Oryctolagus cuniculus: one gene and its partners. The protein of the gene in region 1 purifies or fractionates together with the protein of each later gene. This does not show direct contact. Links are inferred from orthologs where the notes say so. Each region holds a gene or a part of one and is shown on either strand. Other genes may lie near its edges. The genes, in order: NUP43, NUP133, NUP107 and NUP98.

Region 1 (5,169 bases):
TGAGTACATCTAATAAATAAATCGCTACAGTCTCTCATAAGTGACTCCATTAAGAAAAATACTTAATGAGATCTGGGTCTTATGTTTATTAGGCATGCCTGTAAGTAAGGTGGCATTTAACCTTAAAACCTAAATGAACACTCTCCTCCAGCAACTTCAAACTGCGTTATTACTGGTGGGGCTGTTTTAAGGAACTGCCTGCACCAGTAGGTTCTGCAGGCTGGGCCTGATGGGCTTTAGCACACAAGAAAGTACTGAAAAATAAGTCATGTCTTCATACAGCAGATGCTGGCTTCAATTGCAGACCTGAGTTCTATCCACAGAGGCAAGACAGCCGATCCTGTTCTCTGCTACAGTATCTGAGCTAAAAGAGGCTCTTTCTTCAAAAGACTAGAATAGGAACTTAAAGAATTATGGAAAATTACCTGCCAAATTACCATATTGCTTCATCCAAACTAACAGAATGCATTGCAGGTTTACCCAATTTCAATAACAGCTCACAGGGCTGGCGCTGTGGCGTAGCAGGTAAAGCCACCACCTACAATGCCGGCATCTCATATGGGCAATGGTTCAAGTCCTGGCTGCTTCACTTCCCATTTAGCTCCCTGCTAATGGCCTGGGAAAGCAGTAGAGGATGGCCCAAGTGCTTGAGCCCCTGCACCCAAGCAGGAGACCTGGAAGAAACTCCTGACTTCTGGCTTTGGTCTGGCCCACCCCTGGCTGATGCAGCCACTGAGAAATGAACCAGTGGAAGGAAGACCTTTCTGTTTCTGTCTTTCCCCTCCTTTCTCTGTAATTCTCTTTCAAAAACAAACAAACAAACAAACAAACAACTCACAAAAACATGGTTCTAGAATTACATTCGCAAAAAGTAATGATATTTTCCCCCCCTTCATATCGTAAGGCTTTAAAACTATTAAATACGGTTTTCCTTACACCTTTCTAAAAATAACTAAAATACAAATTCACTTTTCAAACCAAAGTTCTTTACCTGGTTATTTGGATGGTGAAGGAAAATTGTTACACATCCTGTTGATGAAGCAGCTACAATTCTTTCCTGGTCAAAAAACTAAACAGAAAAATTCCTGCTTATTATAGATTCAGAAAAACTAGTAGGGAGGAAACCCGTTGTTTAACTGAATTTATAGCAAATTACGTAACTGTAAAAGGTAAAAAGCCTGTAAGTGCTACCCAAATAACATTTGTTAGATCTAAAAGTTAACATTGCTATACAAATAAAGGTATTTTCATGAGGAATAAATGGTTGGCCAAGTTAAATTCTCTAAGCCTTGGAATGTGGTGGGCATTTGGCTTGCTATGATGTTGGGTTGAGATGCCCAAGTTCAGAATGCCTGTGTTCAACACCCAGTTCTGGCTCCTTATTTCAGCTTCCTGTTAACGCAGGTCCTGCAAAGCAATGGTAATGACTCAAGTAATTGGGTCCATGCTACCCACATGGGAGACCTGGACTGAGTTCCTGGCTCTTGGCTCCTGATTGACGCAGGCTTTGGTGAATGAGCCAGTTGATGGGAGCTCTAACAAATACATTAAAAAAGAAATTTCCCTGAGGCCACTGCTGTGGTACAATAGGCTAAGCTTCCGCCTGCAGGGCCAACATCTCACACGCACCCTGGTTTCCATCCTGGCTGCTCCTCTTCTGACCCGGCCCTCTGCTATGGTCTGAGAAAGCAGTAGAGGATGGCCCAAGTCCTTGGACCCCTGCACCCGCATGGGAGACTGGGAAGAAGCTCCTGGCTTCAGATCAGCCCAGTTATGGCCATTGCAGCCATTTGGGGAGTGAACCAGCAGATCGAGAACTTTCTCTCTGTCTCTAACTCTACCTCTCAAATAAGTAAATTTTTAAAAATCTGTATTTTTAAACAGGGAGTACTAATCCTACTCAGGGTGGGTTATGAGAAATCAAAAAATTTAAAAGACCTACCCTGCACAGTATTTGTCACAAATGAGGATAATTCAAGAAGTTTATGGAAAATGAAATTAAAAGATAATGCATTCTAGTGCAAAATTTTTAAAAGCCCATGCATAGTTTATCTATAATATGCATTTTCCATGAACTTTGAGATCCTTAGCAGTGTGTGCTCGAAAGATAATATTCTTAGCATTCTCACGGGCAAAATAGAAATAACAATACTGACTCACAGACATGTAATTAGAATTAAACGGTCTTATGTAAAACTCCAAAAATATCACTTGCAGGCCGGCACCGCAGCTCAATAGGCTAATCCTCCGCCTGCGGCGCCGGCACACCGGGTTCTAGTCCCGGCTGGGGCGCCGGATTCTGTCCCGGTTGCTCCTCTTGCAGTCCAGCTCTCTGCTGTGGCCCGGAAAGGCAGTGGAGGATGGCCCAAGTGCTTGGGCCCTGCACCCGCATGGGAGACCAGGAGGAGGCACCTGGCTCCTGGCTTCGGATCGGTGCAGCGCCGTCCGAGGTGGCCATTTGAGGGGTGAACCAACGGAAGGAAGACCTGTCTCTCTCACTAACTTTGCCTGTCAAAAAAAAAATAATAATAATAAAATAAAAAAATCGCTTGCAGCTGGGAGGTTGTGCCACTAAGTGATCAGTCTACGTTGGGTAAATCCTAACCTATGGAGAACTCGCTTTCCTGTAAACTAGGGGTGAGGCCAGGAGAGCTCTCAGGTCTCTGCACTCTAAATGCACTGCTCTGGCTTTCTTTAGAAGCGAGCCTCTGGGCACTGGACGCGTTTACCTGTAAGTCCATGACGTCACCATGGTGTTTGATATCGCACAACAGTCGATGGTCTCCTTCCAGGCTTCCATCAGAGTCCGGGTTTCCGAAATCTCCGATAGACCACAGTGAAACGTGATTCTCCTGTAAAGCAAACGGCTTCATCTTGAGATGACAGAACCGTCAACTCTGGAAAGTAAACCCAATGCGTATCGCCTTAAGGCAACCTGGGCTCCAAAGCATCTCACACGGCATGGGCAGAATGTGAAACAAGAAGACGGGGGCTCGGGCACACCCACGCTGGCTGCAGCCGAGCCCCCGGACCCGGGGCCGGGGAGGATGGAAAGTCGCGCGCTCCAGGGCACCTGGGCGTGGGAGAGGACGGAGCCCCGGGGTCCCGCCCCGGAGCCAGGGTACCTCATTGTCCCAAGAGCCCGTGGCAAAGGTCTCGGCGGTCTGCAGGCTCCCCGGAGGCACCGGCCGCCAGCGGGTTTTGCTGATTTTCTCAGACACAAACTTGGCATACAGCTCCTCCATGCTGAAAGCAACAGCAGCAGGCACAGCCAGCCGCGCGCCGCGCGCCTCCGGGTTCCGCCCCTTCCCGCGGAGCTCTGATTGGATGGGAGCTCGCCGGGCGACGGCGGCCGCGAAGGGCCAATTCCCAGCGGAAGGCGGTGCAGGCACTGCCGGGCCCGGACCAGGAGGGGTCTGAGGCGCCCATGATCAGCGAGGTGGCTTTGAGCAAAACCAAGAGTGCCCCGGCCTATGTGCAGTGGGATCTGCACCCGACATGCAAATGCAGAGGAGGAACATGGAGACAACGTGCTTGTGCAATAACTTAAGAACAAAATCACTGCGTGGGAAACCACCTTGCAGGCACATCAGCTGCTTGTCACTATGCATAGCAAACAACTCAAAATCCTTCAATCTTCATGGCACTATTTCCAATAAAGTACGAATTTATTATCCTAAACCTTTGACTCCAGTTTTAGTTCTGCTGCCAGTTACCTAAGGTTACCTAACTGTAACCTTGGTCAACTCACTTACATACGTAATTTTTTAAGAAAAGATTTATTTCAAAGGCAGAGTTGCAGAGAGAGGGAGAGACACACACACAGAGGGAGCTCTTCCATCCGCTGGCTCACTCCCCAAATGGTGGCTTAGGCCAGGGCTGGGTCAGGTCAAAGCTGGGAACAGCCAGGACGCAAATCGGCGGCTAAAACCACTGTGCCACAACACCGGCTCCACTTCCATTACATAATTAAGAACGGATTTTGTGATACCTAACGTCCACAGCCTGGGGCATGAGTGCTGCGGGTTCCTTTAGTGCCTTTGGTTATGGCTAAAATACCTTTCCACTCCTCCTCTCAGAATCCTGTCCACCCTTCACCCTTTCCCTGACGGCCTCAGCGGAGGATGAGGAGGAGAATAAAACAGAACGTTTCGTATCTGCATCACTAAGAGCACGCATTTTGCCCCGTTTCTGGTTTCCTTTTCCAAAGCTCCTTAGCGTGGAAATCCTACTGATTCCAAGAGGTATGATTTATTCCACCTTGGCAACTCTCTTACACCGCTGTATTCATAACTATATGTTGTCTCTTTAAAGGGGGCCGTGCCGGGCTGCCGGTTTACGAGGTCGGGGGTCCCACTTCACCGGGACAGTTTGTGCAAGGAGTGGACGAAACGTAACCGCCGCGGCCGGCTTCGGTGAGAGTTACCAGGGTCTGCTCTGCAGCCGAAGATCGCCAGCCGTCTGCGGAGAGACGGAACGGGCGCCCGGGAAGCGGATGAGCCCCAAGTCGACAATTTCATTCCTATCATATATCCACGGAAAGAACAATTGCGTGTGGGCTCGTTTACGACCACAGAACCCCGACAAGAGGACATGCGTATTTTTGAACAGTGTCACATTCGACAGAACCTGGTAAGCGCGAGAACTTGAAAACTGCTGCTGATCTAAGAGCTTAGACGCGGTGACACAGCTTTGTTTCTTTCCTAAACGTTTACCGAATGACCTAAACGACGGCTGCATTCTGTCAGACTCCGTGCTAGCTCGCAGTCTGCAGCTTGGACGCCACAGGCAGTTTCCCCATCCCGGGCTTGGGCACGGTTCGAGCCCAGCCTCACAGCGGAATCCGTGAGGCTCCGTTTACTGACAACGCACACTTGCGTTGGGAGAACCACACATTCACCATAGGACACTGGGGCGTTTTCCACCGGTTGCAGCTTTTTACGTTTGCTCTAAAGGAGCGAAGCATCCCCGCCTCACCGCACGCCCCAGTCTCAGTTTTTTCTCCCTGGCTCCCACTGTTTCTGCATAACCAAACAGGGGTGCGCCTGTCATAAAGCCGGAGGCTGGTGTTCTCGGGTCGCAGAGGGTCCTCGCCCTTGGGGCTCGATTAAGAGCATCATTTCGGCGCCGTCACTCCAGCCTTGACTCTAATCGACCCAAATATTAGTC
Region 2 (5,266 bases), on another chromosome or scaffold:
GAACCTTCAAGTTGTTTTTCTTTATCTGCAAGGCAGAGTGACAGAAATGGAAAGAGAGCAAAATGCTCCATCAGCAGATCCACTCCCTAAATTCCCCTAACAATCAAGTGTGGACCAGGCAGGAGCCAGGAGCCAGGAGCCAGGAGCCCCATCTGGGTCTTTTCACGTGGATAGCAGAAATGCAAGCACTTGGGTCCTCTTTCACTGCCTTCCCTGGTCACTTAGCAGGGAGCAGACAGGAAGTGGAGTAGCCAGGACTCACAATCTGATACTGGATGCCAGTGCCGCAAGTGTTGGCTTACCCCATTTTGCCACTATTGGCCCTTAATGCTGCTTTTCTAAGCTTGTATTCTTTGCATCTTCCAACTGCCACACTATTTCTCTGCCAACAGAACCTTTTGAAGGCACATCACAGTGGTAACCTCATGAATTTGTGTACACAGCCTCTCAGGTACTACACAGGATCCAGAAATGGAGGTAGGACTTGACTGTACTGCCAAGTAACGCATGGCACTCCTTTTTTTTAAAAAACTAAACTTCATATACCTGATCAACTTTTCAAATTGGACTAACTATTCATATACAGTTCCTAAAGCCACTTAAGACTGAATGTGACTGTGCCACAATGAACTCATACTGCTTCTCAAATTCATTACGTATCTCAATTACAGTTGAAACACTAGACAGCTAGCCATTTCTATTCGCTTAAGTGTAGGTATATCAGAGGAAGCACAAATGCCCATCTCCATGGCAGATCTGGGCTCCAATCAGAATTGCTAACAGAGGCGAGTGGAAAGACGATGCCTACCTTCAGCCAACGTTAGGGCTTCCATGACTTTGACAGGGAGAGAAGATCCAAAGGTCTTGACATCGTAGTTCACAGTCTCAGATATGGAGTGCTGTGGGAATATTCGTGTAGGCGTTCCTCTAAGGAAAGAAACCATACTATTTCATTTATCACATACAATGGATCATTATCCTAATTTTTATCTAGATTTACACAACAGAGGTATCTTGATACACAACATGAAGTGCAACCGTGGAAAAAAAACCATTGGATTGGGGCCGGTGTTGTGGTGGTAAAGCTGCCGTCTGCGACCCCGACATCCTATATGGGTGCTGGTTCGAGTTCCGGCTGTTCCACTTCCAATCCAGCTCCCTGTTAATGTGTCTGGGAAAGCAGCAGAGCATGGCCCATATGAGTCCCTGCACCCATGTGAGAGACCTGGAAGAAACTCTGGCTCATGGCTTTGGAGCAGCCTAGCTCTGGCTGTTGTGGCCATTTTGGGGAGTGAATCGGTGAATGGAAGATCTCTTTCTCTCCCTCCCTCCCTGACTCTGCTTTTCAAATAAATTAATATTTAAAAACAAACACCACTGGCTTATGTATACTGTGTATTTAAATGTATTTTTCCATAAAAAAAATTTTTCAGGACTTAGAAAACTGGGCATCAGATCCTTAAGCTTCTCTCAGCTTCTCCATTTAAGAAAAGTGTGAGTCTTCTTCATGAGTACAGTTTCTGTTCACAGTCATGAAAGGCAAAATGTATTTGCCTTTAAAATCTTTCATCATCTTGATAAAACAGAGCACTAAAATCATATCTAATTAAATGTTTTAAATCTTCTAACATTTTTGACAAACATGCCCAAATAAAACTCCAACTGGAGTCTTTTTGATTTTGACCTTGAATTTGGGATTTTCCAGTTGGATCTCTGCAAAGTCACAAGGGATATACTTGTATGTTAAATTACATTAGAAGCATTACCAAACTGTAAGTGCTGCTAAACTTTAAGCTATATTTATGATACCCTATTGACTTGAGTATTCCAAAAATTATATGAGATTCCTATAAATCTAGTGTTATCAGTCTGAACTCTGGTTTTTATGAATATCATAGGAAGAACTACATTTTGTAAATGGCTGGTTATAATGAACTGTCCTATTTCCAGTCATGGCTGTTCTAAGTATTTGTCATAGACAGAGAGTGGTTTTGAAGCATCTACAAAGAGCCACAGTCCAATATTACTTTTTCTTTAAAGAGATTTACAAAAGGACTCAAATGTCAATTTCTGGAACTACAATCTACCACTGGACTGGGTAAGAAATTCTAGAACTTTAATGAACAAACTAATGGCTTCCTGAACTGCTATGTCAAGATCACACAGAATGGGGCCAGCACTGAGGCACAGTAGGCTAAGCCTCTGCCTGCAGTGCCGGCATCCTATAGGGTGCTCGTTTGAGTCCTGGCTGCTCTTCCGATCCAACTCTCTGCTACAGCCTGGGAAAGCAGTACATGACCCAAAATCTCCCTGGAAAAAGCTCCTGGCTTTAGACTGGCCCAGCTCTGGCCATCGTAGCCATGGAAGACCTCTCTCTGTTTCTCCCTCTCTGTCTGTAACTCTCAAATAAGACTGGAAAGCCAGAATTATAGTAATAGTGAGTAGCGCTAATACCCTTAGCATTAAGTAGAAACTGTTAAATGAAAATTACGGGAACCATGGTTTTGGACTTCGCCTGAGCTGGCCCTCAACACACAGACAAACCAAAATGGACCCATTTATGCTAAATGTCATATAAACTGAAACTTTTTGAAAGCCAACCCCAGTTTTCCCCGAACGTATGAAGTTAATCACGTGACACTAAAATAAGCCGCGAGAAGGTCTATTCAGCCCACTTCCCCCGACCCTCGGCTGCTGCTAGTGCCCAAGGTTTCCAGAACCCCCACCTCACGGGCCCACCGCGACCTGAAGCCTACCAATCGCTGGAACCAACCCGGGGCGACCACCTACCGCGAGCTCAGCGAGCTCCGCCGGCCTACGGGAGAGAAGAGAGCGGGAGAGCTGACCGCAGAGCCCAGAGACAGACCTCGCCGGCTGGCCGTTCGGGGCGTGGAACCCGCCCCGACTCCAGCCGGCGGGCCCCTTCGGGACCCAGGACCCGGGGTCCGCGGAGAAGGAACGGCCGGGAACATGGCCCGAGGAAGTTCCAGTCGTAGAACACGAGCAAGACTTGCGACTGAAAATTGAACACCCGAGGCGGGAGGGGCGCCTAGTGATGACGTCCGGGGCGGCGCGGCGCGGCGCGACGGCGTAGACGGAGATGGGCTGGCGCGCGGTGATGACGTCAAGCTTAGCGCCGAGGCGCCGTTTCGCTAAGTCCGTAGAAAAGAAGGTGGGGGCCCCTTACGCGCGATCCCAAGCTGGGGGGTTTTCGACCTTGCAGGTGCGTGGAAGTGAAAAGCTAAGAGCTTTCTCGGCTGCTCTAGGTGGCACTGGTCCTGCACCTGAACGTAAAGCTTTTCCCCACGCTGGTGGTTCTTGAGCGTCTCGGGAAATGGAAGATATTTTAGAGTCCATTCTTTGGGAGGAGAAATACCGTGAAGTTGACTCTGGTTTCACTTGAAATGTTCCATTTGTTTTTCTCTAGGTTTGCCATTTCCCCATACAACCCTGTACAGTCTCGTCCGCGCAAACCCAGATCCAAACCCCAAATTCTAGACCCCCAGCCGCTCCCTAGTGCACACTCCCTCCTGCGCAGCCTGCAGACTCCTAAGAATCCTCTTTCTAAAGGCTGAATCCACGTTTCCCTTTAGGACGCCTGTCTTCCTACCGCCTCTGTCCCGTAAGGTAAAAAAGAAGAGCCCTAGCCCTTGGTCCTGCTTCACGCTGACCTCCACCCTACCATGCCCGGAACTGTAGCTCTCACATTCGCGCTGACTCTGCCCTCCTTACCTCTTCCTGGGTCACTGCACAGCCCGTTTGGGGGGGAAGGGGAGCGTCTCCTGGCCTCTGTAGCCCTACTCCAATCTGTGTAGCCTTACTCCACCTGTGTGTCCAACACAATTAAGTAAAGGCAGACCTGCAAGATCTTGGTCGTGTAAAATGACCGTGGGTTATTTGCTAAATTCCTTTGCCAGATGCTTTGTTATTTAATTCTGGCTGGCTGGGGCAGGGGCAGTGGATTAATGCTACACGCACAATGCAATGCTGGCACCCCATATGGGAGTGCCAGTTTGAGTCCCAGCTACTCCTTCCTGCTAATGCGCCTGCTAAGGCAGCAGAGGATGGCCCAAATACTTGGGCCCCTGCCACCCACGTGGGAGCCGAGGAAGCAGTTCCTGGCTTCACGTGGCCCTGCCTTCTTTGGGGAGTGAACCTGAATCCACAGATGGAACAGCTCTTTGTCTCTCCTGTATTGCTTTTCTTTGCAAATAAATATAGCAATACATTTAAAAAAATTCTTTCTGGCTTTTTTTTTTTTTTTGTCCCTATGCTATTCCCACCACTGCACTTGACATTGGAAGAATTTCAAAAACCCACATCCTACTGCAGTACCCTTGCATGTTTCTCTCACTAGAATGCCCTTCCCTCCCCTGTTGGCTCAAGCATCTAGTTTTAGTTCAGTGCTATCTTCTCAGGGGTAGATAGCCCTTTATCCTTTGTACCCCTAGTCTATATTTTTTCTCTTGCTCTTCATTTTTACTGAACTACAATGGGGTAATCATTAACATCATCCAAGTACAGATACAGTATCATCAAAACTTAACACTTAGTTTAAAACTCCTTAAATTTATCAGAGCAAAGCAAGGTATGCACAAAACTATTTAGCTTCTTTACCCCGAGATCTCAGAGCTGCTAGGACTTACTCATTAACTCTTAGTAACAAACACTAACAATAACAGGAAAACTTGGTAAATACCAGGAAGCTCTTTAAGGTGATCAGTAGCAGAACTAGGAACAGGGTGAAACAAAGTAACCCTAATCGGTTTATTTTGCCAAGCATCTGGAGGGAAGCACCATGCTGTCAGATGAGCAACAGGCAACCCATTCCACTTAGGTCCTTTCTTGGGAACAAGGAAAATCAGGTGCCATTGCACCAGGTTTATCATCTCCATTGTACTGTGTCTGGCTGGGAAAGGTCAAGCCCAGAGCAGCCCAGCACCATCGAGATGCTTGAAACTTATTCCTGTTTTAGAAGCTGTACTTCTACACTAAGCTATAATAGTAACTAAGCTCCCACAGTGGCCAGGGCCACTGCTTGTCACTTCCAGGACAAGTCCTGGAGGTCAGAAAGACTTCCTAGCAGGATGTGGCTACTGGGTATCCAAGGAGAAAGCACACCTAGTCCTCCAGGAAGTTAATTATTTAGGGACTGTCCTCACCCCTGGGGAGAGAAGACTAGCCCCAGAGAGGATACAAGCCACAGAGCAAATTCCTATTCCTACAGCCCTTAAGAAAGTTCCAGCATTTCTCAGATTATTGGGTT
Region 3 (3,604 bases), on another chromosome or scaffold:
TCTGGGCTTTTCTCATACTGACTCCTCATCTATAGGAGCTCACTCTCCTTCTGTCTTATTTTTTTATCTTGGAAAATTCAGCACCTTACTCAAATCTCAGCCCCAGTGCTGTTGCTCAGAGATCTGTTGGCTGGAGATAGTTTCTTCCAGCTCAGATCTGAATAGCATATCTTACATTTATTTTTATACAGTATATCACATGGCACACATATATATCCCCACTGGAGGGCTAGAATAGATCTTATTCATTTTGTATTTCCCACTGTGTTCAGTGCCTACTGTGTACCAAGACTTACATGCTCCAACCGATCTCAATACATTTGCTGAATAAGTAGATATATCTTCAAAATAAAAGCATAGTATTATTTTGAAAACACTCTTGCTACATTCATCTTAATTTCCATATTTAAAAATTAAAAATGTTGGGCCGGCGCTGTGGCACAGCAGGTTAACGCCCTGGCCTGAAGACCAGCATCCCATATGGGCGCTGGTTCTAGTCCCAGCTGCTCCTCTTCCAATCCAGCTCTCTGCTATGGCCTGGGAAAGCAGTACAAGATGGCCCAGGTCCTTGGGCCTCTGCACCCACGTGAGAGACCCGGAAGAAGCTCCTGGCTCCTGGCTTCGGATCAGTGCAGCTCCGGCTGTTGCGGCCGTCTGGGGAGTGAATCATTGGATGGAAGACCTCTCTCTCTGCCTCTCCTCTCTCTGTGTAACTCTAACTTTCAAATAAATAAATAAGTCTTTAAAAAAAATTAAAAATGTTATGATTAATTTTATATTAAATTTTACGATAAATTATGTACCCAACTTGAAAATGAATCTACTTTCCATTTTCTTTATAATTTTAAGATACCAGTGTACTTAAAATTATAGCAAAAAAACCACAAGAAATTTAAGTTCCCTATTACATAATAGACAATTCTTGAATTTGTAAGATCAGAATATTTTAATTTTTATATGCTTTTATTAAAAAACACAATTAGGGAAATACTGATATAATACATTAAATTTTCAAAGTGTTACCATAATATTCTGAAAAATACAAAATTCAAATGTCTAAATTTTACATCTTTTCCCAAAATGATGCAAAAGAAAATCCCGTAATTACAAATATGTATATTTTAATATATATATAAAAAAACCTCCCCATTCACCCTGGAAATTAGTAGGCATACAAAGCTTGGACGAATTACGACTGAATTTCATATCCTAGAGGATCAAGTCCCTGGTCAAGAAGCATCAGCGAGGATTCCCTTAACTTCTGCAGCAATTTCCTTAGTTCTTCCTTAGAAAATACCTGATTTTAAAAGAGAAAAAAGTAATGATGAAAATATGAACTTGTAGTTACCTAATCAATTACTAGCTTCATACAAGAAGTTCCTTTTGAAGGATTTTGTGACCACAGCCTTGTCAGAGAAGCTGAGGGACTATTTTTCTTGGTCTATAACGTCTAGGTGGGTGTTCCGGTGCAGTGGGTAAGCCACAGCTTAGGACACCAGGATTCCATCTGGGAGTGTCGGTCTGAGTCCTGGCTCCTCTGCTTTCAATCAGGCTTCCTCCTGCTAATGTGCCTGGGAGGAAACAGATGACGGACCAATAAGTTCTTGGGTCCCTGCCACCCACATGGGAGACCCAGATGGAATTCCAGAATCCTGGCCCAGCCCTGGTTACTGCAGATACTTGGGGAGTGAACCAGCAGATGGAAGATATCTCTTTCCCTCTCTCTGTCCTTTTGCCTTTCAAATAAAGAAATAAAAACTTTAAAAAATCAAAGAACTTCTAGCTTCTGCTGAATGCATATACATGTTTCAGAGGAAGAAAGCACACATATTAAAACTGGACCACTACCTTCAGAAAACCCAAGAGCAACTGAAAAACGCAAACACACCTTCACAAAGCGGAGGAGAGTGGAATCCCAGTTGCAGGCTGCACGCGCTCCAGCACTTACCAGATACAGTTTGTGGCGCTCGGAGGACACCATATCTGCTAGCTGCAGGCACTCCTGGTGCTGGCCGGTGCTGTGCAGGATGGTGTGCAGCAGAAAGCACAGCATGGGCAGGCAGAGCTTTCTCAGCAAAGCCATCTGGTGCGTTCTTTCATGGTCTTCCTCAGCATCCTACACGGACACCAACAGGCACTTCAACAACCACAAGCCAAAGCAGCCCGATAAAGCAGCAAGACTAAGCCAGCCCCCTCCATGTCCATGGGTTCCAAAGCTGTGGATTTAGCCAACTGGAGACTACACATTTCTCTCCTTGTCGTATCCCCATGTGACAATTACTTACAGAGCACTTCTATTAGGTTTATAATATAGAGATAACATAAAATTTACAGGAAGACGTATTGGGGTTAGATGCAAATACTGTACTGTTTTATGGAATAAGGGATATGAGGATCTGTGGACTTAGGTATCTGCAGGGGGTCCTGGATCCAGTCCCCAAAGGACACTGAGGGACAACTTTCCTGAATCTAAGCCAAAACAGGCAGAAGCTAAGACATTTTTCTAAAGCTTTTCATGCCTGTTAAGAATAAAACAGGAGCTGGCACTATGGTGTATTGGGTAAGGCCACCGCCTGCAGTGCCGGCATCCCATATGGGTGCTGGTCGAGACCTGGCTGCTCCACTTCCTGTCCAGCTCTCTGCTATGGCCTGGGAAAGCAGTAGAAGATGGCCCAAGTCCTTGGGCCCCTGCACCCACGTGGGAGACCCGGAAGAAGCTCCTGGATCCTGGCTTCGGATCAGCTCAGCTCTGGCCGTTGTGGCCATTTGGAGAGTGAACCAGCAGATGGAAGACCTCTCCTTCTCTCTCTGCCTCTCTGTAGCTCTGCTTTTCAAATAAATAAATAAATAAATCTTAAAAAATAAAGAGGGCCGGCGCCGTGGCTCATTAGGCTAATCGCGCCGACACTCCGGGTTCTAGTCCCAGTTGGGGAGCCAGTTCTGTCCTGGTTGTTCCTCTTCCAGTCCAGCTCTCTGCTGTGGCCCGGTAAGGAAGTGGAGGATGGCCCAAGTGCTTGGGCCCTGCACCCGCATGGGAGACCAGGAGAAGCACCTGGCTCCTGGCTCCTGGCTTCGGATCGGCGCAGCACACCGACCTTAGCGGCCATTTGGGAGGTGAACCAATGGAAGGAAGACTTTTCTCTCTGTCTCTCTCTCTCTTACTGTCTAACTCTGCCTGTCGGAAAAAAAAAAAAAAAAAAAAAAAAAAGAATAAAGAATAAAACAGGGTTTTATAAGGCAGAGCTTCAATCATGGGATGTAGACAACAGGATTTTATAGCAAAAAAGCCTGAAGATGAATAAAGTATACCACAGAGAACACAGTGTAATCATGAAAATAAAATGCTTCTGAACTTGTGTTTCTAATAAACTTGCTTGTGTAGAATAAAAACATGCATAAAAGGGATAAGAGACTAGATAACACTACAGCAAAAATCAGAACCAAAAATAATGGCCATTTTGCTAGACAGAGATGTAACCACAGACTGATCTAAGGAGTGGGAGAACACACTAAGTGCCCTTGGCCCTGAGACTCCTTATTGCCTGTTAATGATCTCATCTCACAGGCTAGATTGTGTCACTTGCTCCTCCTAATGCTGTTGTTA
Region 4 (4,579 bases), on another chromosome or scaffold:
GTTCCACTTGTAAATTTTGATTGCAGTAATCCACCACCTGAAGTGGGGAAAAAAATTATTACTACCTATTATTTCCTGAACAACAAAAGTCAGCAAAGTTGAAATCATCAGCTAACTAAATCAGACACACATGACCAGAAGGAAGTTAGATCATCTTTTGCAGCAACTACTCTTTCAACCAGGAAATCAAAGCAGCAACTATAATGATGATGGTGTCAACAATAAGAGCAATAATATTAACAAACAATACACTAAAATTTTTGAAAAATTATTTAGAGCTTATTTGTAGCATGCTCTACAAGCATCTGTGCACATTATTATTTCATTTCATTCTACAGTAACTTTAGACAGGAAGAATTATCACCACCCCATTTTTGTAAGTAAGAAAACTGGTTTCAAGTAAGTGGTAGCTTGTACAAACTCAAAAAATCTACCAAATACCAGGACTGGCAGGGAAAGTACAGGGAGGTCTGTTACCAGTACTAAGCCCATACCAAAATCCCAAATGTGGGGGGCAGGCATTGCAGAGCAGTGTGTTAAGTCACTGCCTATGATACCAATGCTTTATTGGAGCATTGGTTCAAGTCCCAGGTACACTCCTTCTAGTCCAGCTCCCTGCCAATACATCTTGGAAAGCAGCAGCAGATGGCCCAAGTACTTGCAGCCCCTGCCATCCACATGGGAGACCTGGATGGGGTTCCTGGCTCATGGCTTTGGTCTGACTCAGCCTCGGCCCTTGATGTCATTTGGGGAGAGAACCAATGGACTGAAGATCTCTCTCTCTCTCGTTTCTCCCTTTCCCTCTGTCATTCTGCTTTTCATATAATTAATTATATTATATAATATATATTAATTATATAATTATAAATAATAAAAACTTTAAATAAAAATTCCAAATGTGTGAAGATTACACATGGTTAATTCTTATATATTTATGTTACTAAAAACACACACACACACATACACACACAACAAATCCATGATAGGATTTTGGATGTTTTTTAAAGAACTGTTAAATGTTTGAACAGAGATGTATTTCCCCTGAGTGGACATTACACAATCTATAAATGTATCAAAAAGTCAAATGGAACACCATGTCTGATAAAAGGAGACAGGACTGTGGCACAGCAGGTTATGTTGCTGCCTCTAATACCAGGATCCCATGGGTGCTGGTTTGAGTCCCACCTGCTCCACTTCTAATGCAGTTCCCTTTTAATGCATCTGGGAAAGCAACAGAAGATGGTTTAAGTACTTGGGAGATACACCCATGTGGGAGACCTGCACGAAATTCCAGACTCCTGGGTTTGGCCTGGCTCAGTTCCATTGTTGCAGACATTTGGGGGTCTCAAAGAGCAGATGGAAGCTTTCTATCTCTCTTTCAAATAAATAAGTAAATAAATCTTTTTAAAAAATTCAAAATAACTTTCTTAGTCCTTATAAGAGCTTAGTAAGATCAAAGATCAAAACTCAAATTCCTACCTTCTGTTACGAGTTAAAGAAAAAAATATTGAAAATTCTTATGATTGCACATGTACTTTTCTGAGGAAAAGTTCTTATTAGAATTGCCTAATCCGGGCCGGCGCCGCGGCTCACTAGGCTAATCCTCCGCCTAGCGGCGCCGGCACACCGGGTTCTAGTCCCGGTCGGGGCGCCGGATTCTGTCCCGGTTGCCCCTCTTCCAAGCCAGCCCTCTGCTGTGGCCAGGGAGTGCAGTGGAGGATGGCCCAGGTGCTTGGGCCCTGCACCCACATGGGAGACCAGGAAAAGCACCTGGCTCCTGGTTCCTGCCATCGGATCAGCGCGGTGCGCCGGCCGCAGCGCGCCGGCCGTGGCAGCCATTGGAGGGTGAACCAACGGCAAAGGAAGACCTTTCTCTCTGTCTCTCTCTCTCTCACTGTCCACTCTGCCTGTCAAAAATAAAAAAAAAAAAAAATAAAAAAATAAAAAAAAAAAAAAGAATTGCCTAATCCACAATTTTTTAAAAGGATTTATTAACTGAATTGTCTGAAAAGCAGAGTGACAAAGACTTAGAGAGACCCCAAGAAAGAGAGAGAAATGTCTTTAACCTGCTTATTCATTCCCCAGATGGCCACAACAGCCAGGTTTGTGCTAGGTCAAACTCAGGAGTCAGAAACTTCATCCCAGTCTCCCAGAAGGGTGGCAGCAGCCCAAGCAATTGGGCCATCATCCACTGCCTTCCCAGCTGCATTAGCAAGAAGATGGATTGAAAGTGGAGCAGTAGCCGTGCCGCCGTTGCTCTCTAACGCCAGCGCGGCCTCTCGCTCGCCGAGCTCCAGCTGAAGGAGAAGTGTGGTAAGTAGGGAGGTCTTTATACCATGGCTCATACAGGGCAGACTGCCGCAAATTGACTGGTGGTAAAGCACCCAGGAAGCAACTGGCTACAAAAGCCGCTCGCAAGAGTGCGCCCTCTACTGGAGGGGTAAAAAAAAAAAAAGTGGAGCAGCATGGGGCCAGAGCTGTGGCATGGCAGGTAAAGCCGCTGCCCCCACTGCCAACATCCCATATGGGTGCCGGTTTGAGTTTTGGGAGCCAGGAATTCAATCCCAGGTAGCAGAGATACAACTATATAAGCCATCACCTGCTGCCTCCCAGGGAACTTGAATGGATTCCAATCCAGAAATTTCATTATAGTATGCAAGTATCCCAAATGACATCTTAACTGCTGCTCCAATGACCACAACTTAATATTCACTTAACTGTTCAAGTGTTCTGTTTATAGTAATACCCTACCTCCAATTCCACCAAGTTACTAGTCCACTAGGCAAAAAGCTTAGGGAAAATTGGAATCTTGAATCTTGATGAATTCTATGAATTATCAAAAGGCAAAGATTTCCTCATAAGGCACTGAGATAGCATTAGGACTACACAGAGAGTCCAATGTAGGACAACTTGTTAAATCCTCAAAGTAACTTGTGATAAAAATTTGGAAATTGGAACTTATTTAATTCATACTCATAAGCAAACAAAAGCATGACCCTAAGCAAAGCACAAATACTATACTCTCCATACAATTTCTGCATCTTCACCAACAGAAGTAATTATAGTTCTTAAAAAACTGGACACTCCTAATATAAGAGTGTGAGCTCTCTTAACATTCTTATGTCAGAGGTATGGCTGTTAGGGAGATACATTCTGGAAATCTACTCAGCACAGGAGATATATGAAACGTGGAACTTGATGACTCTACAGCTTTCTTGTAAAACAGCGTATTTATACAATACCTAGTGAACGAGATTTTGATGGGTGGGATGCTGAAATGGGGAGTCTGGGAGAACAGATTTCTTGAGAAGCATCTGCTTTGGAAGGAACATGACTGAAGCGCTGATCCAGCATCATGTCTATATCTTCTTCATCAGCAAGCAGTGATGCTTTCATGATCTAAAAAGGCAATATGTATATACACAGACACACAATGAATGTGCTCTCTGAAACTGAAAGGCTACTAAAAGATACAGTTTACAACAACCAAAAAAAATTACTTCTTAAGATAGTGTCCAGAAATACTGTAATATTTGTGTTACTGATTTCATTACAATGTGTCTCACCAGAACCTGGCATATAGCAACTGCTGAGGTCTTAATAAATAATTTTAAAATCAAACATAAGCACAAGCCAAAAGCTAAACTCATGCCTTTTGGCATGGGCAAGGTGAAGTAGAGACAGGGTTTACAGAAACTTTAAAATTTTGTGGAACACTTTACAAAGCCTCAAAAACAACCTTCAAAGTAGAAAAAGTTATGTTTTACAGAAGTCAGTGCTCACAGACGTTAAATGACTGTCACACAGTAATAAATTCACAAAACTGGGATTAGAATCCAGATCACCTGATACTAATACCCTTAAAAAACCAGAAGCTCTACATCCCAATATATCTTTCTTTCCCTGAATGGGAAAATGATGCCCAAACACTGACCAAATTCTTATTTTTGTTTTCCTCATACAGTGACCACTCGACAGTCTTATTAAGCCTGGTGTTACTCAAGAGAGATAAAATATTAGTTGGGCTATCTGTTGTAATAACTGTGGATTAGGACATCACCTGTAAAACATGTGGATTAATTCCCAGTGAAGATGCAATGTGCGTGGAAGCAGACACAGGTTCCTGATCTTCAGGCACGCTCTCTTCTAACATGGAATCCAAAACTGGCTCCTGGGTGATATCTATCATGTCACTGTCCAGTTCCACAACCCTCCCTAACTGTTCCACCTCTGGACTCTGACTCTGTAGACAGCAGAAACATCAGGGAAGCAGCATTAAATTAAACCAAATAAACACGGAGCTTCTAGATCAGATTCAGTTTATTCAGAATATGATACAGCAATGTTAGATTTTACCAATTCCATCATGAGGTGCTGAAGAGGATTTAACAGTAATTATCCCAATACCCACCAATAAGTACTTGGCATCTGAATGAGGATTCATGGAATCATTCTTTTGTAATAAGTGATAGTCTTTAGAAACAAAAGATTATGTCTTACCTGAAATTAACACAATTTTCTGATTTACACAGTATCACCCTGCCCTCACATTGCCTTGTAGCCAGAAGTCATTGAAAAG

What was found.
Region 2: the proteins of NUP43 (region 1) and NUP133 purify together in Homo sapiens (affinity purification with mass spectrometry; 5 studies listed by BioGRID and IntAct, counting the BioPlex papers as one, with this or other methods). This does not show direct contact. The link is inferred for Oryctolagus cuniculus from reciprocal best matches to the Homo sapiens genes NUP43 and NUP133.
Region 3: the proteins of NUP43 (region 1) and NUP107 purify together in Homo sapiens (affinity purification with mass spectrometry; 8 studies listed by BioGRID and IntAct, counting the BioPlex papers as one, with this or other methods). This does not show direct contact. The link is inferred for Oryctolagus cuniculus from reciprocal best matches to the Homo sapiens genes NUP43 and NUP107.
Region 4: the proteins of NUP43 (region 1) and NUP98 purify together in Homo sapiens (affinity purification with mass spectrometry; 4 studies listed by BioGRID and IntAct, counting the BioPlex papers as one, with this or other methods). This does not show direct contact. The link is inferred for Oryctolagus cuniculus from reciprocal best matches to the Homo sapiens genes NUP43 and NUP98.

What each region holds. Positions count from the first base shown.
Region 1 is NC_091436.1:18,267,657-18,272,825, reverse strand, and holds the start of NUP43 (nucleoporin Nup43), read right to left. Parts: upstream 3,317-5,169; 5' UTR 3,246-3,316; coding exon 3,126-3,245; intron 2,853-3,125; coding exon 2,730-2,852; intron 1,070-2,729; coding exon 992-1,069; intron 1-991. UniProt on the Homo sapiens protein: Component of the Nup107-160 subcomplex of the nuclear pore complex (NPC). The Nup107-160 subcomplex is required for the assembly of a functional NPC.
Region 2 is NC_091444.1:90,255,174-90,260,439, forward strand, and holds the start of NUP133 (nuclear pore complex protein Nup133), read right to left. Parts: upstream 3,080-5,266; 5' UTR 2,973-3,079; coding exon 2,791-2,972; intron 928-2,790; coding exon 809-927; intron 1-808. UniProt on the Homo sapiens protein: Involved in poly(A)+ RNA transport. Involved in nephrogenesis.
Region 3 is NC_091442.1:71,107,398-71,111,001, reverse strand, and holds the end of NUP107 (nuclear pore complex protein Nup107), read right to left. Parts: intron 2,117-3,604; coding exon 1,949-2,116; intron 1,298-1,948; coding exon 1,190-1,297; 3' UTR 923-1,189; downstream 1-922. UniProt on the Homo sapiens protein: Plays a role in the nuclear pore complex (NPC) assembly and/or maintenance. Required for the assembly of peripheral proteins into the NPC. May anchor NUP62 to the NPC. Involved in nephrogenesis.
Region 4 is NC_091432.1:63,189,357-63,193,935, reverse strand, and holds part of NUP98 (nuclear pore complex protein Nup98-Nup96), read right to left. Parts: exon of another isoform or gene 4,303-4,579; intron 4,244-4,302; coding exon 4,061-4,243; intron 3,400-4,060; coding exon 3,243-3,399; intron 38-3,242; coding exon 1-37. UniProt on the Homo sapiens protein: Plays a role in the nuclear pore complex (NPC) assembly and/or maintenance. NUP98 and NUP96 are involved in the bidirectional transport across the NPC. May anchor NUP153 and TPR to the NPC.